3 linked regions of the Danio rerio genome follow. The protein of the gene in region 1 purifies or fractionates together with the protein of each later gene. This does not show direct contact. Links are inferred from orthologs where the notes say so. Each region holds a gene or a part of one and is shown in the gene's direction. Other genes may lie near its edges.

Evidence for each region. The genes of interacting proteins can lie anywhere in the genome.
Region 2: the proteins of sike1 (region 1) and stk24b purify together in Homo sapiens (affinity purification with mass spectrometry; 4 studies listed by BioGRID and IntAct, with this or other methods). This does not show direct contact. The link is inferred for Danio rerio from reciprocal best matches to the Homo sapiens genes SIKE1 and STK24.
Region 3: the proteins of sike1 (region 1) and strn4 purify together in Homo sapiens (affinity purification with mass spectrometry; 3 studies listed by BioGRID and IntAct, with this or other methods). This does not show direct contact. The link is inferred for Danio rerio from reciprocal best matches to the Homo sapiens genes SIKE1 and STRN4.

The regions. Positions count from the first base shown.
Region 1 is NC_133198.1:43,062,317-43,069,925, reverse strand, and holds part of sike1 (suppressor of IKBKE 1), read left to right. Parts: intron 1-1,942; coding exon 1,943-2,048; intron 2,049-2,121; coding exon 2,122-2,264; intron 2,265-4,170; coding exon 4,171-4,284; intron 4,285-7,527; coding exon 7,528-7,609.
Region 2 is NC_133181.1:13,497,857-13,505,465, forward strand, and holds part of stk24b (serine/threonine-protein kinase 24), read left to right. Parts: intron 1-3,540; coding exon 3,541-3,698; intron 3,699-4,407; coding exon 4,408-4,593; intron 4,594-5,867; coding exon 5,868-6,013; intron 6,014-7,609. UniProt on the Homo sapiens protein: Serine/threonine-protein kinase that acts on both serine and threonine residues and promotes apoptosis in response to stress stimuli and caspase activation.
Region 3 is NC_133190.1:13,760,136-13,767,744, forward strand, and holds part of strn4 (striatin-4), read left to right. Parts: intron 1-4,526; coding exon 4,527-4,630; intron 4,631-6,464; coding exon 6,465-6,541; intron 6,542-6,672; coding exon 6,673-6,751; intron 6,752-6,829; coding exon 6,830-7,027; intron 7,028-7,609. UniProt on the Homo sapiens protein: Calmodulin-binding scaffolding protein which is the center of the striatin-interacting phosphatase and kinase (STRIPAK) complexes.

The DNA.
Region 1 (7,609 bases):
ACCCCTACCTGCAAAAATTATCTGTGGCAAGGATCTAACTTGTTGTAATTACGCTGCTACTTTCTTTTAGTAGAAATATCTAAACATCAAGATCTGTTTACCTAAGAAGCAAAATTAGACATCTTGTTAATTTCAAAACTGAGTTTGTGCTTCTCAAAATACAAGAAAATATTTTCTTTTTCAAATAATATTTCAAAATTTTTTAGAAATGTGATTTAAATAATAATAATAATAATAATAATAAAAATAGCTGAACAAAATTTTTGAAATCCAATGCAATGTTATAAATTGCTCTGACATCTCATTCTATATGCGTTATGACTGATAAGATTATATTATAAACATGTACTGTTGACAAACATTAAAACAGTCTCGAATATCATAAAAAGTTAAATTAGTGGAAATAAAAACTTGATAAATTCTTGAGAGTTTAAATTTGGACTTGAATTGAGTTGAATAAGTCTAGAATAAATGCTTTGCATAGTTTTGATGTGAAACTGAAATTTCAGCTGATTAAAATGTTTGCAACTGTCGATAATTTTGATAAATTTGATTTATTCGTTGTGAATTAACCCGATCCTGATTTATTTTCTCGATTAGGAAAAAAATAAATAAATAAAAAATATATTTAGAGAGAGATAGATATAGATACACACACACACACACACACACACACACAGTTGAAGTCAGAATTATTAGACCCCCTAAATTATTATTAGTCCCCCTGTTTATTTTGTTCCCCAATTTTTATTTAATGGAGAGCAAATTTTTTCATTCATTCATTCATTCATTTTCTTGTCGGCTTGGTCCCTTTATTAATCTGGGGTCGCCACAGCGGAATGAATCACCAACTTATCCAGCAAGTTTTTACACAGCGGATACCCTTCCAGCTGCAACCCATCTCTGGGAAACATCCACACACACTCTCATACACTACGGACAATTTAGCCAACCCAATTCACCTGTACCACATGTCTTTGGACTGTGGGGGAAACCAGAGCACCCGGAGGAAACCCACGCGAAGGCAGGGAGAACATGCAAACTCCACACAGAACCGCCAACTGAGCCGAGGTTCGAACCAGCGACCTTCTTGCTGTGAGGCGAACGTGCTACCCACTGCGCCACTGCCTCGCCCTGCACCGATAATGTAGATTTTAATTAGTTTAACAACAAAACACAAGTAAATAGCGCATTTCCGCCTAGTCTCGTCCTATATTGTTTGCCATGCATCTTTAAATATTCGCTCTTAAATAGCATGTCAGTTTGGCTTGCACGCCAGCGAACAAGCACTAGTCGCATTTAACACAGACGGCAGAGGAGGGACTGTGATTCAGGGATTTATGCTAAGCTGTTATCATTGTGGAAGATCACCTACTGCACCTTTAATGTTTTTTTTTATTTTTAAATCGTTCCAATTTTTAATGTTGGAATGTTCTAAATGAATAGGGCATAGGGGGATAACTGGGAATAGAACACAGCCAGGAACTGTGCTTCTAACTACAGCTTTAAAGGTGCAGCTTCAAGTGTACAAGTTTGCAACGCAGGTTACGAATGTTCGTTGGAGTGATGGATTTGGGAAACGCCAAATCAAGGAACTATGTTTGTAATGACAGAACTTGAGAGCTTAGTTGGCTAACGATGGTTTTCAGAAACACACCCCAGAATTGTTGTCAGTGATTTGCATGACACCACCACCAAATGAAGATATGCATGTTTTGCAAGATTGCTCTGTCTGTAAAACATATCTTATTGGACTGTCCCACTTTTTATTTTTGTAGAAATATAACTTGTTTTATCATATTTGATATAGTTTTTCTGAATTGTTTTTATCCTGAAAATAGCCCGAGATGCCGACTTGCCGTTAGATGAAAACATATGCTACAACACATTAAATAAAAGAACAACGACCCAATATGAAGTTCCTGTGTTTTCCTGTGTTTAGTACATGGAGGAGAACACCGAGTATCAAGAGCTGTCCAGATACAAGCCTCACGTCCTGCTGAGCCAGGAGAACACCCAAATCAAAGAGCTCCAGCAGGAGAACAGAGGCAAGACTTCTTCACAGCGTCTCTGCTTTTGTAAGGTGAATGGCTGACTGAAGTGTGTTTATGCTGTTCACAGAGCTCTGGCTCTCTCTGGAGGAGCACCAGTACGCCTTGGAGCTGATCATGGGCCGATACCGCAAGCAGATGCTGCAGATGATGATGGAGAAGAAAGAGCTGGACACCAAACCTGTGCTCAGTCTTCACCAGAATCATGCCAAGGTGCCAGTCTGTTGGTGTTTTTAAATGTTTGGAGACTTCGCTCTTTTTAAAAGTTTTGTTGGCTTCTTATATAATGTCTGTAGGAAACTATGCATATAAGTTATGCACATATAGTTAGTTGTTTATATATTCTGAGAGTGACGGAAGATGAACTTAATTGCATGATTGTTAATGCTTCCTAAAATGGGTGGAGCTAAACTGTTTGGACACCTTTTGCTTGTTTGCAACTCTCTGATTGGTAGAATTTTATTTGGAGCATATTGTTACAAATTAAATTAAAAATCCTTAATCATAAAGAGGTTTAAGCAAAACATTGCAAGATAACAGGGATTAAAAATATACTCCCTGGTGCCCTCGCGCTCTCTCCCCACCAAAAAATAAACCAAAAACACAACCACTGAGAATTAACAAGAAAATATTATTTATTTACAGAAAATAAGAAGCAAAAATAACATCAGGTGGGGTTCAGCCAAAATAAATGACAATAAACCAAACTAACTAAATTAGAGAAAACTTCCCTGGAAATAAATAAGAAAATAAAATACAGAAAATTTAACTCCCTACTTACAACACAGGAGAAAACGAAAATAATAAATAGAAGCCATCAAACCTCCCTACCATGCTCCAAGCCAGACAGGGAGACAGAAAACCCGGGTTTCTCCAATTAGAATGTACAACTTCACATTGCTATCTCACAAAAATGCCATATAAGAGACATCAGCAACAAACACTCATATTTATCACTCAAGCAATAATATCTACACAGAGAATAACAAGCGGGGAATAGAGAGAGAGAGAGAGAGAGAGAGAGCGGGGAGCTGCTGAATCAATGCTCTCTGAGGTTTAAATAAGAAATACAGCCACCGCCAACCAGGATCTGACGTAATCCGCTTCACCTGCCAATACTTCGAAATGAGAGAGAGAGAGAGAGAGAGAGAGAAACACCACACACACACACACGCACACACACACACACACACACACACACACTACACCACCACAACAACTACTCGTAACACCTTCCCACCAAAAAGATGCAAACAAGCAGTTTGTATCTACCCACCTAACTCAAACCTCAACTTCAGCACCATAAACTCTGGACAGCGCATCTGCAACCACATTTTGCAAACCTTTCTTGTGCCGTATATCCAAATTAAATTCCTGGACATCCAAAGACCATCTCATTAATCGCTGGTTTGAATTGTGCATCCTAAAAAAAACAAGAGGATTATGATGGGTGCACACGAATACACACAAATTGGGAACGAACTTCCACCCAAGTAAACCCCAAAATGTTGCAATGCTAAAAGCAGTGCTAAAGCCTCCTTTTCGATCGTACTATATCTGCGTTGACATGCAACTTTTTTGAGAAATAGCACTTTCCTGAACCAGAACTGCTCCAGCCCCAGTAGCAGAAGCATCCACTTCCAATTTAAAGGGACGCTCCAAGTCCGGTGCTGAAAGAATAGGAGCGTTACACAGCAAATCTTTTGCTGCTCGAAAAGCCTGATCACATAAAGCAGACCACACAAAAACTCTTTCAGTGCTCAAAAGATCAGTTAGTGGGGACACTAACTGTTTTGCATCAACTGGACACACATGTCCCTGACCTACCTTTTTTCCTAAGTACACAACTGTGGCTTTGGCAAATTCACAATTGGCTAAATCTAGGTATAAACTGAAATAAAACAAAGAGATCGTTTCAAGAAAAACGTTCCATCAATTAACAACCAATAACAAGTCTGATTTTAAAGGTTTATTCCTCGAAAACAGTTGCTCTATGGAGAAATGAAAGAAGTTGGGAACTCACCGGTTGTGTTTTATGAACTGTTTTATTTCAAATTGTCTTTGTGTTCATACGTAAATCAAGCAAAATGAACCTAAAATAAGTCTGGTTTTTTTCCAGGAGGTTCAAAGCCAGTTGGGACGGATCTGTGAAATGGGTCAAGTAATGCGTCAAGCCGTACAGATGGATGACCAGCACTATTGCTCTGTGAAAGAGCGACTGGCACAGCTTGAGGTAACAGCTCTGTTTTGCTATTTTAAAGGTTTCTAATTTAGTTTTCTAGCTCTCCTACAGTGGGTTTACATCCATTCAGGCCAGGGTCAAACATTTTCTTATAGTATCCATTGCAATATCGACTCATTTTCATTGGTTCAAAGATCCTCGCCTTACTGAGAACTTTCTCTACTCAGATTGTCCAGATGGCTCAGTTGTCTGTAATTGGTTGACCAATCAGGATTGCATGATTTTCAAAGTAGTCGTATCACAGATGTTTTCACACTGCTGGGCTAGCGTTTCGTCGCTGCTTTGTTTACACTGCAAGATGGATCGGTGACAGGGGTTTTCACATTGCATGACTTTACTATAGGAAGAATCGCCGACAACTTCATTCAAACTACGTCTCACAGTAGTATATCTTTTGTTATTAACTACATAATGAGAAAGAAGCCTTTAATGGGGTAGAAAATGTACATATTTGCTCACCTGGGTTTGAAGGGAATTAGCCATTTCTCCTCAACGTTGATAATAAACTAATTTCTTTCTGTATGAAACGTCAAACAGACACGGTTGCTCCTGAGTCCTGTCAAACCTCAACTAGTTTTTCCTCCATTTCGTGGGTCCAAATAAACCGAAAAAGAGCGCTTTTAACTTCTCCCCCAGCCTCCCGCTGGCCTGCTGCAGGTACACACACGCACACACAAGTGAATGCCGCTCTCTCATTGGCTGTAGGCGATCGCTGATGTTATTTTCAGTAAAAACTCAATTCACACGGAATGATTTGATTCGCAGACAGCTCCAGATATTCAGCACGCCAAATATCTCACAGGCATCGGCGACTCATCGGCGATTCTTTCAGATTGCGTCTTTGATAGTTCATACTGTGTGATTGTCACTCACAGCACCGATTTGCCTGTGATTTCAGGCATTTGTCTGCGATTTCTCAAAACCTGTCGGCGAGCCAAAATCGGGGCTGAAATCACACAGTCTGAACTAGGCATTACACTAGAGTATGTTTGTAATAAAAGTCTTATGACGCATAAGTTTTGTTATGATTACAAGTAGCATCCACACTACTCCAGCAACTTTGACCAATGGAAATGCAGTGTTTTGAAGGAAGAAAATTAGGTAGGTGATCATGTTGGAAGTTACCTAGATGGGGACTATTTTCAGGTGCTGCATAATGTCATTGTGTCTGCTGGAGCCAAAGTATGGCAGCTCTTTGATTATTACAACAGAATGAGAGTATAGTCCTTGGTTATAAAAGGCTAAAAAAAAATGATTTTTTTTTTTCTGTTAATCTTAGTCCATGATAGAACTACAGAAAAAAATCAAGGTTTGAATTGCAAAATTATCAAAACTCTTCAGTCAATTTTAAGTGAGATGCTTACGGTCTAATCCAATTCAATGATCTATGCTAAGCTACTCTAAAAGGGCTCCCAGCAGACCCAGAAATCAGCTAAATGGATTAAAAAATGGTAAAACTCTTTAAAACATCAATGACGTCAAATAGAGCCATGAAAAAAAAACTTTCTAAAGACTAGAAGCAATAAGGAAGTAGATCTGTTCAATTAAGAAAGTTTCACTTTTGATTTTGGCCTCCACCGACTATGAAAAACAATTATCAAAATAAAAAAAGATTATCATGTCATATTAGATTTATTCATGCTTTTTTCTTTAAATAATAGTTTGAAGCATACACTAAACTGACACCGCTAAGGGTGTCAAAATGATTTGGCCTATGCACTATGTCGCTGTAGAATAATATTGCAAATGGGGCGAGGGCGAGTTAATAAACCACTCCAACTACTTACAGGGTTCGTACGGGTTCTGGAAATCTTGGAAAATGCTTGATTTTTAATAGTGTTTTTTAATAGTGACTTTTAAAAGTGCTTGAATTTGAAATTGCAGGGCTCGAAATTTGTTTACCAGATTTAGGAGATTTAGGTTCACACAGAATGCATATTTGCACATAAAAACGCCAAACGCAGTGCTCAGGAATAGTTTAAAACAGTTGACATGTCAACTTGCAGCAGTAAACAAAGCCTGCAATGCCTGTAAAAATACTAAATATAAGATATAAGATATTTTGAATAAAGTAATATTGATGAAAGATGACAAATTATGGTTTCCAAACAGTTGACATAGGAACAGTTCATTAATTTGCAGCAAGAATATTATATTCTACATTAGGGATTTAAGTTGTTGTTACAGGAATTTTGAATAGCAATGCACATGAAGTTGGAAAAGGTGTAAGAACCCTGTACATATATCACGTGTTTTATTTCAGTCAGTTTATCAGTGACTGTTAAAATTACAGTTTAAGTTTTCATTTATTTGTTAATTTTTAATTTTATTAATTTTAGTTATCTTTTTTTTTTTGTTATATATTTTTAACAGTTTTAATCTTAGTTGCTCAATAAATGAGCTATCTATCCATCTATCTATCTATCTGTCTATCTGTCTATCTATCCATCCATTCATCCATCCATCCATCCATCCATCCATCCATCCATCCATCCATCCATCCATCCATCCATCCATCTATCTATCTATCTATCTATCTATCTATCTATCTATCTATCTACAGTTGAAGTCAGAATTATTCGCCCCCCTTTGATTTTTTTTTCTTTTTTTTTTATATTTCCCAAATGATGTTTAACAGAGCAAGGAAATTTTCACAGTATGTCTGATAATATTTTTTCTTCTGGAAAAAGTCTTATCTGTTTTATTTCGGCTAGAATAAAAGCAGTTTTTAATTTTATAAAAGCCATTTTAAGGACAAAATTATTAGCCCCTTTAAGCTATTTTTTTTCCCGACAGTCTACAGAACAAACCACTACACAATAACTTGCTTAGTTACCCTAACCTACCTAGTTAACCTTATTAACCTAGTTAAGCCTAAAAATGTCACTTTAAGCCGTCTTAAATACTTGAAGTCAAATATTATTTACTGTCACCATGGCAAAGATAAAATAAATCAGTTATTAGAGATGACTTATTAAAACTATGATGTTTCTATATGTGTTGATAAAATCTTCTCCCCGTTAAACAGAAATTGGGGAAACAATAAGCAGGGGGGTTAATAATTCAGAGGGGCTAATAATTCTGACTTCAAATCTATCAATCCATCTCTCCCTCCCTCCCCATCTGGAAGTACAATTTTTGACAAAATAAAATAGTTATATAGCACTTGGTGTGTGATTTGCACTCTAAATGCACTTTCATATGTTAATCTAATGCGTCCTTTTGTTGATGCAGATTGAAAACAAGGAGCTCCGGGGTCTGCTGTCCATCAGCTCTGTGAAGCAGCACAGAGAGGAGAAAAACCCACCGGAGACGA
Region 2 (7,609 bases), on another chromosome or scaffold:
TAAAAGTAAGCCCAGTTTAGAGTGGACATTGTGATATGCTTTGTAACCTTTTCAAGCTCATAGGAAGCTGAAGGTTTACAAAGCATAATAAAGCTACTTTAGAGCATTTTTTAGATTTTGATAGCAAGGTTATTGAGACATGTTTACAAACACTTGTTCAACATAAGAATGATATCCAGTTTGCACTTGATTAGTTTACTTATAACAACGCGTAAAAAACTACATAATAAATACAGCTGTTATGCTAGATTCTGTGCTACACAAAGTACTGTTCAACAGTCAGATCTGTCACCTGCATCGTTTAGAAATGAGCACTAACAGTATTTACATCTTTTCATACAGCCGTTCAGATTTTATTTAATTTCACCGTGATCAAATAACGGGAAATGCAAGAGCACAGAGATGAGAGCCAATTATGGATTCTTCCACTGCCGTTTACTGTCGCTTAGCAAAATGGAGCACTTTGAAGTTGCGGTTTTATGTAACATTAGCAGATCTGTGCAACCAAATCTTACTGGTCGGTCAGTTTTATTCAGAGTCCAATGAAAAAGCACATATCTGCTGTGACTTGAATGTTTGTTGGTCCAGATAGACAGAAGAAGATTTAATTTATTCAGACATATTTTGACACCAGATATTTGCCTTGGTGTTATTCAGCTTCTATGATTTGTTTGTAATCTGTTATGTGACTTTATTATTTGCATATATCAGATTTTAAAATGTAAAGTTCGTAAAATCGTGAACCATCAGTAAAAGAGTCAATCATCTTTTAACCAGGATACTACAGTACACATTTGCTTTACTAATATATATATATAAATATATATATATATATATATATATATATATATATATATATATATATATATATATATATATTCATTCATTCATTCATTCATTTATTCATTCATTCATATATATATATATATATATATATATATATATATATATATATATTTATTTATATATATATATATATATATTTATTTATATATATATATATATATATATATATATATATATATATATTTATTTATATATATATATATATATTTATTTATTTTATATATATATATATATATATATATATATATATATATATATATATATTTTATTTATATATATATATATATATATATATATATATATATATATATATATATATATATATATATATATATATATATATATATATATATATATATATATATTAGTAAAGCAAATGTGTACTGTAGTATCCTGGTTAAAAGATGATTGACTCTTTTACTGATGGTTCACGATTCATTTATTGGTCACATACCTTAGAACTATTACACAATATAGTGTCATGAATCACAGTAAGAACTAGAGAGAAAACAAACAAACACAAATGAATCTTGAAAGTTGAAACACTAAACCAACAATCTGAAAAAAAAAAAAAAGAAACCGATCCATGAACTGTGTACTGTAAAGTTCCTTTCAAGCTCTGACAAAGTCCCACACATCAATAGTCTTTTCGGATCCTTCCTTTAACCAACGGCTGATGAATCCCCCGTTGTAAGGGTGTAGACTGCTAAAGCACTCGTTAGAAAAATGCACAGGGCTGGGGCTATAATGCTGAGGTATTCTTGCAAAAATAATCTTCAGCCACTCACTTTTCACAGCCTCATCTTTGGGTAGAGAAACTTTCCCTCACACTTCAGAGCACAGCGTCTTCGTGACATGATTCAACTGGAAATTGCTACAGTGTTTGTCTTCCTCTTTTTCTTTCTACAGTGTATGTGCATGGGACTAGGGTTTAAATTTTCCTGTTCAACATTTCTACCGTTTTGAATTGTCACATATTTAAATCGATTTACACTACGGTTTTCGAGCCATGTATTGGACTATTTTTCAGTTCAGCATAAAAGGAGACACACATGTCATTTGCTTTCCATTTATATTATAACACAGCGCCCCCTCTGTTTAAAAAATGTATTGGGATTCGTTCAACATTTCTATCGGTTTGAATTGTCACATATTTAAATCTATTTACATTACGTTTTTTGAGTTATGAATCATACTATTTTTCGGTTCAGCAAAAAAGCAGACACACGTCATTTGCTTTCCATTTATATTATATTTTAACACAGCGCCCCCTCTCTTCAAAAAATGTATCACGATTCGTTCAACATTTCCGGTTTAAATCGTTGCATATTTAAATCGATTTACACTGCGGATTTTGAGTCACTGAATTGTTTTCGGTTTAGAGACCCAAATAGTCACCTTAGAATTATAAGGCTCTATCTGACATTTTTAACAAAATTGAGTTATTGACATATTCTTATAAAAAAACATCCCATAATGTAAATAAGTTGTTTACATTTGAACATTTTTTAATTTAAAAAAAACAATGTTACACACTTACTGTTTGCTATGAAATGCAAAAACTTTGAAGCTCAATATCTCAAAATCATTCAGAACGCAGATAGAACCTTATAATTCTAAGTTGAAGAAATGTCATTTGCTTTCCATTTATATTATATTATAACAAAGTGCCCCCTCTGTTAGAAAAAATGTATCGCGATTTGTTCAACATTTCTACTGGTTTGAATCACCAATTATTTAATTTTATTTACACTACGGTTTTTGAGTCACTGATTGAACCATTTTTCGGATCAGCAAAAAAAGGGACAAATGTCATTTGCTTTCCATTTATATTATATTATAACACAGCGCCCCCTATGTTCAAATATGTATTGCGATTCTTTTAACATTTTAACCGGTTTCAATCGTCCCATATTTGAATAAATTTTTAACCTGCTCACAATGAATCGTTACATCCCTAGTGGCTGTATTATTTGCATGTATCAGATTTTACAACTTTACAGTTGTAATTTTTTTAAATGATTAATACTGTGAAGGGAAAAACATCAAATTAAAACGACATAAAAATATATTACATTTTTTTTAGTAAAGCAAATGTGTACAATAATACAATAAGTTGATAACATACGATGTTATCCATTTAAATAAATAGCCATATGCAGGTTATCATTTTTGGAAACCTATTCAGTGCTATAGTTTTAAAGGTTGTTTATCGCCACCCGGTGGTAACAGAGTGTAATTGCTACAACATTCACTAGCGTCAAGTTCCATCAAACTGTGATTTTTATCTTTACCATAAACATCAGTGTGTTTATATCTGAACTATAAACTGTTCTCTCAGTACTATTGTGTTATTTAATTTTGTAACGAACTGAAAAAGGGTAAGAACAGTATCTCTCTCGATCAAACACAGATTTGAATGCAGCCCTTTCGAAGGAACAAACATGCAAATCATCACCATTTATCATACATGTTGCGTGGGGTTGAATTGAGATCACGATCTTTAAATGTTTAATCTTGCAGCTTTACACTGAATGCATAATTGCAGGCTAAACAAACAGTGATAAACCGTGATCCGTTACACCCCTATTTTCTATGCACCCCATTTGGGGCCCCAGTTTGACATAAATGTTGCATTTCTGAAGTTATCATACACTCTCCCTCACACTGTCTTTTCTCATTTCTTTTTTTTAGCCGCAAATGTATTATTGTCGGAGCAAGGGGAGGTGAAGCTGGCAGATTTCGGTGTGGCCGGTCAGCTCACGGACACACAGATCAAGCGGAACACTTTCGTGGGCACACCCTTCTGGATGGCACCTGAGGTCATCAAACAGTCCGCTTATGATTCAAAGGTGAGAGCCACTGAACAAAAGTCAAGGGCTGTGCTGCAGATCAGTCACTGCACCAGACGTCTGGATCTGCTGTTGATCGTGACTACTTGTTAGATTTTTCCCCAAGTGAATCATTGTGATGTGATTTCATCAAGTGACTTGGAAGTGGACTGGGTCTGGTTGCATGAAAGTCCTTAGAGAACCCGTGAAGTGCTTTAAAATGTGCAATTTTATTCGATGTTTGATGTAATCTCAACTGACACATAAAGAGAGAGGGTGGGACTGAGACATGGGGTAGCTCCTCCCTTTTATAAAAAAAAACAGCCAATAGCATTTTGTTTTCATCACAGCGCTGCCAGTGAAAGTGGTTGGGATCAAGCTGATCAAATGAAAAGCAAATGAGAAGCGTCTTGAAGGGGGCGGGGCATGTCAGATACTAGAGATCATTTGATTGGTCAAGATTTAATAAGAAACTAAAGTATGAGGTAACATGAATAAATCCGTTGATTCATTTAGGCAGAAGTGACGAACTACAAGCTTTACATGTATATGTCAGTTTTGTATCTTCTAAACACGAATTTTGTCACTGATTAACTGCGCACTAGCTTATAGATATCCTAAAAACTAGCAATACTAATACTAACACCTAAAAAAACAACTTTTTTTTATTTCATGGGGTCTTTAACATGCATCCGGGCCCTGGTCATGAAAACGTTGTGTTTGTTCTCAGGCTGATATTTGGTCATTGGGCATCACGGCGATTGAGCTGGCTAAAGGAGAGCCCCCCCACTCCGACCTACATCCAATGAAGGTGCTGTTCCTCATTCCAAAGAACAACCCCCCCACACTGGAGGGCAACTACTGCAAACCGCTCAAAGAGTTTGTGGAGGCCTGTCTAAACAAAGAGCCCAGTTTTGTGAGTATGTTTTTTGGGGACTCCCAGAGGTCATTTTCCATATCCTTTTTAACTCGTTCACTGATCTTTCTGGCAAAACAATTTGTTCTGTTTTTGCTGCTGAGGTCATTTTCATTTAGACATGTGCTATATTTGTTCCTGAAACAGACCCTCCAGGATTTCGCGATCCCAGCGAATTCTGAATTTAACGCAAAATGTCACAAAATTTCACAACATAGTCGTAGATTTCTCTTATTTTGAGCGGTCAGCACAGTGTTTGAATTCCTGTCACACCACAGTGCGCAATCTGCATAGTTGTACATTGAAAAACGTTACACAAAGTAAATTTTGCTGCTTGTTCAAACAACTTATTTAAAACAAACTGAAACATCACAATTCTTGAGTTTTTTTTGGGGGACAACTTAATTTTTTTTACGTTCAATCCACTTAAATTAGTTTAATCAATTAAGTTAAATTGATCGGTTTGTGTTGGGACAACATGAAGTAATTGTGTGAATGTTTTAATTCTTTTTTTGTATAGTAGTGGGAAGGTATGATTGGTTTCTGTCATTTCTTAATTATTCTGAAGTATATGTATTATAATATCTAGTTTTATGGGAAAGTAAGAGTCGGTTTAAACTAAGACGCTCTATAATTTCGTATTCTGCACCGTGCATGGTCTTGTTAAATACCAATAAATAAAAAAGTACAAAAAGAAAACGAAAACAGTATTTGCGAACACAATGTGCTTGTGTGCTGTGTAAAGCCTTGAGTTGTCACATACACACTCTTCCTTTGATGTGTGATCTGCGTCATGTGACGTTATGGCAAAGCGGATTCATAAACTTCTATTTATTGTATATAATCGTCATAAGCGTAGCCCTCTCTCTTTTTCTCTCTCACGTACACACACATAAGCATGCATTCTCTGCATAATTTCCATCAACTGTCATATCGGTCAAACAACATGGATGACACTTCAAACAACTGGTTTCATTTTTAAATATGATACAGCAGGATTTATGGGTAACCTCTAGTTTTCCTTTATATAAATTAAAGAGATCAATTTTCTTGAGGTCAAAAAATTAAGAGGAGTAAGTTTGTATATATTTTCACCTCAAAGCAATAATAGAAGTGGTGTAAAATTTGCTGCAAGTATTGCAAAACTAAAAAATAAAAATAAAAAAGATCATTTTAAAATCCTTGAGGTACTGTTGAATCAGGCATTAGCAATGAGGTTTTGTTTCATAGGACCTGTCGTGATGGTTTCTGTGTCTTTCTGTCTTCTTCCTCAGAGACCGACAGCCAAAGAGTTGCTCAAACACAAGCTCATTGTGCGCTTTGCGAAGAAAACATCCTACCTGACGGAGCTCATCGACAAATACAAGCGATGGAAAGCCGAACAGTCGAGAGCAGAGTCCAGTTCTGATGAATCTGACTCGTAAGACTGCTAAAATTACTTTCACATTTACATTTCATACAATTGTCTGCTTAAAAATTATTAATTTGGCGTCAATAATTCACCCTTAAGTCATTTCTTAATAGTATGTTTTTCTTTATTTTTCAAAAAAATATTCTATTCTATTCTATTATTTTATATTATTATGTTATGTTATGTTATATTATATTATATTATATTATATTATATTATATTATATTATATTATATTATATTACATTATATTATATTATATTTAAGAACATTAGAATCAAAACAATATTAGATCCCTTTAGCTTTTATAGTATATAAAAAACAAAACAATAAAACATTTCTCAAAATATCATCCATTCTAGATAACGACATACAGTTTGTTTGTTTTTTTACCAACATAAAGGTGTGTAAATGACAGAATTTTCATTTTTGAGGTGGCTAAAACAATCCCCGAACACATTTTATGATTTAAAAAATGACAGAAATGCTTTAGATTTATATTGCTTTTTACATTTAATGTATTAAAGCTTCTTCAAGGCCATCTGAATGATCAGAAAAAATTGTGAAAAACGGACAAAAAAAATTAACCTTGTAAATATGCCAAAAAAATTGAAGGTTAACTCGACTTACTACATTCTGAAACTTGACAACTCTAAATTACTAATTAGAGGTATGAAGAAGTGCATGAAATATAAAACTTTTTCTGGGATGTCCGTGTTTAAAAACAAAGGTAATATCCACAAAACAGTTGCTCAATCCCTGTTTACATATGTTATTAAGATTGATTAATGTTAGTCACTAGCAAGTAATGATTTAAGTAAGGAATAATTGACAACAGGCTTTTATTAGATTATAATTATTGCACATTACTTTCTACATAATTTTTTACATGCGTTATTTTGTAAATTCAAAAGGTCTAAGTCTATTATTTTACGTATACTATGGATATCACACCTGAAAGACATTGTTCAGATGTTGGAAATCATGAGGTTTGTCAAGTAAATGTCCTTAAAGTTCTAATTTGTTTGGGATTTTCTATCTAATCCAGTTTTTGTCTTTTTTAGGGTCACAACAAGTGCACTTTTCTGTTCTGAAAACGTGAGGTGCACAGCACTGCCTTTTTCAGTTGACAACAAAAAAAAGAAGTGCTGTGCACTTTTTATGACTGAATCAGCTGCGTATTGTGCTCGAGTGTTGCTGTTGATATTGCTATAATAGCAATATTTAATAATATTGTGATATTTAAAATTTGTTAAGTCATACATGTCCGGGTAACTCAAAACAGCAACTGCTAGTCTCTCCTCAAAAGTCTCTTGTTGTCATTTTGATCAACACTGCTGTCACCTCAACGGAAACCCAGCCTTTGCTTTAGAGAAGAAGAAAAAAAAATGTGAATGACGTAACATGATTTTCTCCACTTAGAGTTGACTTTCTTCAACTGCAGGCGCACAGAGCGCAATGGCTAAAATGCGAGGAGCTCGTAAGCAGTGTGCAGAATGCTTGTGGCCATCAAATCATTCAAAAACAGCGTTCGGTGTGATCGGACCCTTAGGCTGTCTTATTTGAAGTAACTGAAATAGTTTCCACATCTGCAACTACTTTAGCT
Region 3 (7,609 bases), on another chromosome or scaffold:
AACTCGACACAGAGAAACAAACACCTACTACCAGCTAGCATTTCGGAAGTGTTATTGCAGAGAAGCACATGCAGCGTGCTGAAGTATAAATGCATGGCTACATGACGTACACACCAATCACTTGACGCAGATGTATAAACCAGGCTTAAATCCTTGCATATGGTGAACATTTTGCTGTGAAAACTGGTCGCACGACAACAATTTTATGCACTTGTGCGAATGCTCCCAAAAATATTTTTAGGTTGCATAAATAAAATTTCAGGCGCATATGCGATATAAGACATTCCCCAATGTGAAAAAGTTTATCTGACGTGGTCAAAGACAAAAGTGACGCATGTGGTGGTCAGGAGGATAGTGAGAGAGGTAAAACAGGATCACCACCAAGACTGTCTTGATGAATCTGGGCTCTGATGGCAACATCTCAAGGCAGACCGTCCAATGGACTCTGCATATCAAAGAGGACTCTACTTCTCTAGAGAAGGCACACAAAGCCTATTTGGCCTTTGCAAATGCTCATTTGGACAAAGAAGACTTCTGGTGTTCTTTTTTGTGATCATTCATTGATTTTCTTTTTGGCTTAGTCCCTTTATTAATCGGGGAATGAACCCCCAACTTATCCCGCTTATGTTTTACGCAGCAGATGCCAATTCCAGCTGCAACCCATCACTGGAAAACACCCATACACTCTTATTCACACACACAGACTATGGACAATTTAGTCTACGCAAGTCGCTTATACCACATGTCTTTGGAAAACCGGAATACCCGGAGCAAACCCACGCAAACATGGGGAGAACATGCAAACTCCACACAGAAATGCCAACTGACCCAGCCAGGACTTGAACCAGTGACCTTCTTGCTGTGGGGTGATTGTGCTACCCACTGTGACGCTGTTTTAAGAACAGATGAAACAAAAACTAAATGGTTGTTTACAAAGATGTAACCTTAATTTGACTTAAAAAAAAAAAGGAGAAGCCGTCAACCTGAAGAACACTATCCCCACTGTCAAACATGGTAGTGGAGACCTTGTTTAGGGCTGTTTTTCAGCCAATGCACCAAGCAAGCTAATCATAGTAAATGACACCTTGAAAAAGGAGCAGTACATCAGAATACCTGAAGGAAGTCTGCAGAGATACTTGTCCTTCGGCACCAGTGGACATTTCAGTTAACAATGACCAAAACACACAGCAAACGTGATGAAGAAATGGTTAACAGACAAAAACATTCATGCTTTGCTGTGGCCCAGCCAAAGTCCTGACTTAAATTCAATTGAGAATCTGTGGAGGGAGCTAAAGATCATGGTGATGGCAAGGATACGCTATAACCTGAAGTGAGTAAAGAAGCTCATCAAGATGAATGGATAAAACTACTAGTCGAGACATGAAAAAGATGATATGCTATAATAGGAAGCGTTTGGTTGCTGTAATGGCCAATAAAGGATTTTCTATTGATTATGGAGAAAAGTATAAATAATTTTGGACTTTTTGTTTAAATGTGAATAAAAGCTGAGCTAAATTAAAATATAGCTATTGTTGTTGAATAATGCTGTCAGTGGTATGTACAGATCTGCTGTGTGAGCTACACTGATGGTGTGGGGGTGTGATTTATATGCTAGAGACGAGTAAAAAACAAGAATATAACTGCAAACCTGTACGCTGCTGCTTTTCACAAATCTTCATTACTGCCTTTTACCTGAAAGCCTACATTAACTACAGCATAAAGCAGCACAGGTTTGTTGTATGCTCATGCTAACGGTTTTGGTTACATAGTCAATCTTTTTTTTTTGTTGAAAACATGATCATTTTACAACTCCACTAGACTTAAAGATTTGAGTTTCATCATTTCTGAATCCATTCAGCTGATCTCAGGTTCAGACAAAAGCACTTTAGCTTAGCTAAGCTTATGTCATTGTATCAGATTAGACCATTAGCATCTCGCTTAACAATGACTAAGGAGTTTAGATAATTTTTCTTTTTATAGTTTGACTTTTCTGTAGTTTGCTGATTCCAGCATTATGGATGTGACATCTGCTGAAAAAAAAAAAAAGAAATTTATATATACTCCGAGAAAGTATATGTCACCAGTATATTGAAATATCTATTTCTTTTTTTCTAATCCCTCAACTGTGGAGTTCAGGCATAAATAAAATCAAACTAGCTTAATAAAACCACTAATTTATCCAGCACAGATTTTGCACAGCGAATGCCCTTCCAGCTGCAACCTCTCTGGGAAACATCTATAAAATTCACACTCATGCACTACGGACAATTTAGCTAACCCAATTCACCTGTACCGCATGTCTTTGGACTGTGGGGGAAACCGTGGCACCCGGAGGATACCCACGCGAACGTAGGGAGAACATGCTGACTCCACTCAGAAATGCCAATTGACCCAGCCGAGGCTCGAACCAGCTTGCTGTGAGGAGACAGCACGATGCACTGCGTTGCCCAGGTTGCACAATTAATCACACACAATTCTCGTTATAGCATATGGATATTATATAATGTAAGTCAGTAATTAATGCAGCATCATAAACCATTGGCACAATCCTTATATTTCATGGATAAACCAAGCAATTTCCTTAAATCAACAAGAGCACATCATAAAAATAAAATATAGACCTTATATATATATATATATATATATATATATATATATATATATATATATATATATAGAGAGAGAGAGCTTATTTAAATTGGTTTTGTTATTTTGGTCAAAAGTTTATTTTTTTCATGAGAAGGTTGACATTTTCATGGAATTGCTCAGTTACATTTCGCAAAAATCTCTGGTTACAAGAGTTTAAGGCACTGCATAATAGTATTGTGCTGCTGCAAGCATGCTACGATTGCAGATTTCGTTGATTATTGCATCAGAATACGAGTTTAGTTCAAGTCATATTGACCTAGAAAATAGCAGTAAATTTTCCATCATTCTTAGTAAGTAATATGGATACAGAGGAGTCATGCTTTAAGGAGGATTGATTAAATTAATTTATTAATTCATTTTCTTTTCGGCTTAGTCCCTTTATTAATCTGGGGTCACCACAGCGAATGAACCGCCAACTTGTTCAGCATATGTTATACACAGCGCATGCCCTTCCAGCTGCAACCAATCACTGGGAAACATCCACACACACTCATTCACACACCTACACTACTGACAATTTAGCCTACTTAATTCACCTATACCCTTTGTTTTTGGTACTGTTGAGAAAACCAGAGCACCCGAAGGAAACCCACGCCAATACGGGGAGAACATGCAAACTCTACACAGAAATGGCAACTGGCCGAGCCAGGGCTCGAACCAGCAACCTTCTTGCTGTGAGGCAAACGTGGAAGCTAAAAGATCTTGTGTCAGACCCAGAAATTGATTCATAAAACTCTAGAGTTTAACACTAGGGGAGTTGTAAAATTAGCGTTCCTTTAATTTTGTAACTATTGTTGGTAGAGCTGTGAACCTACACTAGTCTCACGGTTCGGTTCGGTTACGATTATCATGCCATCGATTCGGTTCAATTCGATATTTCGGTGCATCACGGTGCATTGACGGTGCTTTTCATACACAGTTTTATATTTTCTTCACAGAAGCATTTCTTGTATTAAAATGTATGAATATATTTATATTTATATACTATTTGTAAGACAATTTTGTCATTTAGTACAGTCAGATATATAAACTGTAACTTTAAACAAAACGAGCATTTAGCAAATTATATTAACAAATATAAATATCCAGCTCAATTTCTGATCCTTGTCTAGTTCTCTTACACCAGGCATGTCCAAACTCGGTCCTGTCGTTTCTGTATGCAAAAGTAACGCTGTACAACAGCCGAGAAGAGAAGAAAAGCCATGCCAGCAGGTCAAATGGGCCACTGTGTGTGTGTGTGAGAAAGAGAGAGAGAGAGAAATGGAGTAGGCTACTTTCATTCTCTCCATCTCAGTGAAATAGGGGCTATTGTTGTATATGTCAGTGAAAGACTGATCCAGCAAACACACACAGTGAAAGTGTGCACAGTTTATGAGTTTTAAGTTGTTAAAGCGCTGTAAATACTCGCGATCGCCTCTCTTGCGACAGAGCGCATATGAGGTAAATGACATCAGTAATAACCGGTTATGATTATTACTGAACCGATACCGAATTGTCCGCGTCTGCATCGCAGTGCACCGCAGAAACGATTAATTTTGACACCCCTAATTGTTGTTGGTGTTATGGTGGACTCTAGATGACGATTGAGGCCAATTTGTATGTGTTTTCTCTCTCTTCTCGTCCACAACTTACTGGAAAAGGAATGGTTTGTGGTTCCTCTCCCTTAGTCTCTTTTCCGTCAACATATTTGCCTGTCATGAGTATGGTCAGTGAGAGCCTAAAATAAAGCTTGTGGAATGGCAGGCCTTTAGTTAACCATTGCTCTAAGAATGTCATTGGCGGCTCGATCACAGAAATCCAGAGCTAAACCTGTTATTTGCTGACAGATGTATGAGGTTTGAATCTGAAGCATATTTCCTTCTGTCTGTTTGTCTCAGGCTCAGGTGGCATTTCTGCAGGGTGAAAGGAAAGGTCAGGAGAACATGAAGCAGGATCTGGTGCGGAGAATTAAGATGCTGGAATACGCACTCAAACAGGAGAGGTGAAACCACACACAGACACACACACACAAACTTACACAGATGAGTCTCTGCCGCTCATAGTATAATCACAGAACTCTCCAGATTTTTGTTTTAGTCTGTTTTTGTTTTGATCTGTTGTTTTATTTTTGTTTTGCTTTTCTGTTGTGTTTTTTAGTTTTTTGTTGTTTTTTTTTCATCATTTGAATTGTTGTTCATTTTTGTTGTTGAAGTTTTAGTTTGTTTTATTTTTTTGCTTTAGTTTGTTTTATTTTTTTTTGTTTTGTTTTCAATTGTTTATTTAAAAATGTTGTTTAATTGATCTGTTTTTGTTTTGTTCTTGCGTGTTTTCTTTTTCTTTTTTTGTTTGTTTAATTTATATTGTTTGCTTGTGTTTTTGTTTTGTTCTCTTGCATATTTTCTTTTTAGTTTTTTTCTTTTTCTTTTTGTTTGTTTAATTTTTATTGTTTGTTTGTTGTGTTTTTGTTATGTTTTAGTGCATTTTATTTTACTGTTTTAGTTTGTTTTATGTTTATTATTGTTTGTTTAATTTGTATTTTGTGTGTGTTCTGTTTTTGTTTTGTTCTCTAGTGGTTTGTTTATTTTATTGTTCTTTTTTATATTTTTTGTAGTTTAATTTAGTTTGTCTCATTTTTCTTTTTAGTTTATTTTCTTTTGATTTATTCATTTGTTTCTGTTTTGTTCCCTTGCAGTTGTTTGCTTTTTTGTTTTCTTTCATTTATTTATTTATTTTTCTTTTTTGTTTTTTTGTTTTTGTTTTGTTCCCTTTTTCTTTTTTTATTGTTTGTTTTTTCTTTTTTTATTGTTTGTTTTTTCTCTTGTGTTTTTGTTAATTTTCTTTTTTAAAGTTTGTTATGCTTTATATTTTTTATTTTATTAGATTTTTTGTTTTAGTTTGTTTTATTTTTATTTATTTAAAAAACAGTTTTGTTTTTGTTTTATTTAGTTCCTTTTTTGGATTTTATTTTTATATATATTTTTTTTTCATTTTTCTGTTTTTGTTTTGTTTTCTTCTGGTTTTGTTTGTTTAATTTTTCCTATTTGTTGTTTGTTCTGTTTTTGCTTTGTCCAGTTGTTTTTTGTTTAGCTTTTTATATATTTTTATCTGTTGTGTTTTTATTATTATTATTATTATTATTATTATTATTATTAATAAAATTTTTTAATATTAAATTTTTTTTGTTATTTGACAATTTTGAACTTTAATGTATAAAAAATACAGTGTTATGTCTGCAATGCGGACCAATGGCTCAGTCGACAGTATTATTTTTAATTCCCACTGATATACAAGTTTAGATCTCCAGAAGGAATCTCAAGATCTCAAGAATCTTTTAGCTCCCCTGCTTTTTTACAGTTTGTTTGTGTGTGTTTTTGTTTTGTTTTGGTATGTTTATTTACTTTTTTTTTTTTGCTATTTTTGTCTGTTTCTCATTTCGCTTTTTAGTTTTTATTTTAATTAAATATTGCTTTAAATAATTTTATTACTAATACTTTTATTTTAATTGCCATTGGACAAAACATTTAAAGATCATCTTACTTGGGAGATAAGGCTGACAAATTAATAAAAAAATATAATAAATAATATACAATAAGTATGGAATAAATGTATATTTATATCCATTCTTACAAGTATAGTGTGCTCTACTTCTATAAAAATCCCAATGATTTACAAATTGCTATTTGTACTCTGTTTGGTCCACTTTTCCCTTTCATATTCTCCTTTATATATCCACTTTCTCTATATAATGGCCACAAAATCCTTAAGTATCAATTAAATGTGAACAATTAAAAACATGTGCAATAAATGCTTTTCTCTACTGGTCATTTTGATCACAGGGCCAAACACCAGAAGCTGAAAAGTGGCACTGACCAGAGTCCTGGAGAGAAGAAACCAGAGACAGAAGCTGAACCAAGTAAAAACACAATCAAAGCTATTTAAAACAATCAAATGACAAAATCTGATGGATATTTATCAAAACATAAGAACATAAAGCCAGTAAAACAAACGCTGTATGGTTAGATGTTACAACACTCTTTTTTTCAGTACCCAATGGGCCTGCAAATTCAGACTCTGAACCGACCAATCAGATGCCTTGGAAGGAGGGACGCCAGTTATTGCGCAAGTCTGTGTGTTTTCTGTGCATTCATTCTCAAAAGTGGTTATTATCTTGTGTTGACCCTGTGTGCGTAATTGTAATCAGGTATCTGGAGGAGGTGGGATACTCCGACACTATTCTGGACATGCGATCCAAACGCGTTCGCTCTCTGTTGGGTCGAAACAGCCCGGAGGCGAATGGGCCTCCTTCCAGCGAACCCACCACAGAACCAGAGCCGCATGTAGGAGTAGGAGGAGGAGGAGAGTCACTGCTGGTGCGGCAGATTGAGGAGCAGATCAAACGGTTAGCACAACACACATTTGCACAGCTGTAGAAATGAGGTCCAGTGAGAGTCTGTGTACAGATGAAGCCAGATTTAAAGGGATGGAACACAAAAAATTCTGTCATTATTTACTCCAGATTTAAAGGGATAGACACAGACATATACATATAGTATGTAACTGCTTTTACATAAGTTATTAGTAACTAATAAAGTTATGGTAACTAATAACCTTAACTTCTCTGATTTTAAATGTTATGCAATAATACACAACTTTAATTCACAATAATTATTATTAATGACAGGACAGGATAGGATAGGATAGGATAGGATAAACTTTATTTGTCCCTGAGATAGGGCTAGGCATTTTTTTCTATTTGTTTTTTACAATTTTTTTTTAATCGATTTTATTTTAATTTGAATTGATATTTTAAGACGATTTAATTTTTTTATTAAATCGAGGTATTGCGAATTGTCAAGACATATTCCCTTATTAGGTTGGTAAACTAGATCTCTCAATATGTATATAGGACGTAAAAACCTGTTATGTGAAAAACCGCGCCGAACTTAATTTGAACTGCGCTGATCTTAGTTTGGTTTGAACA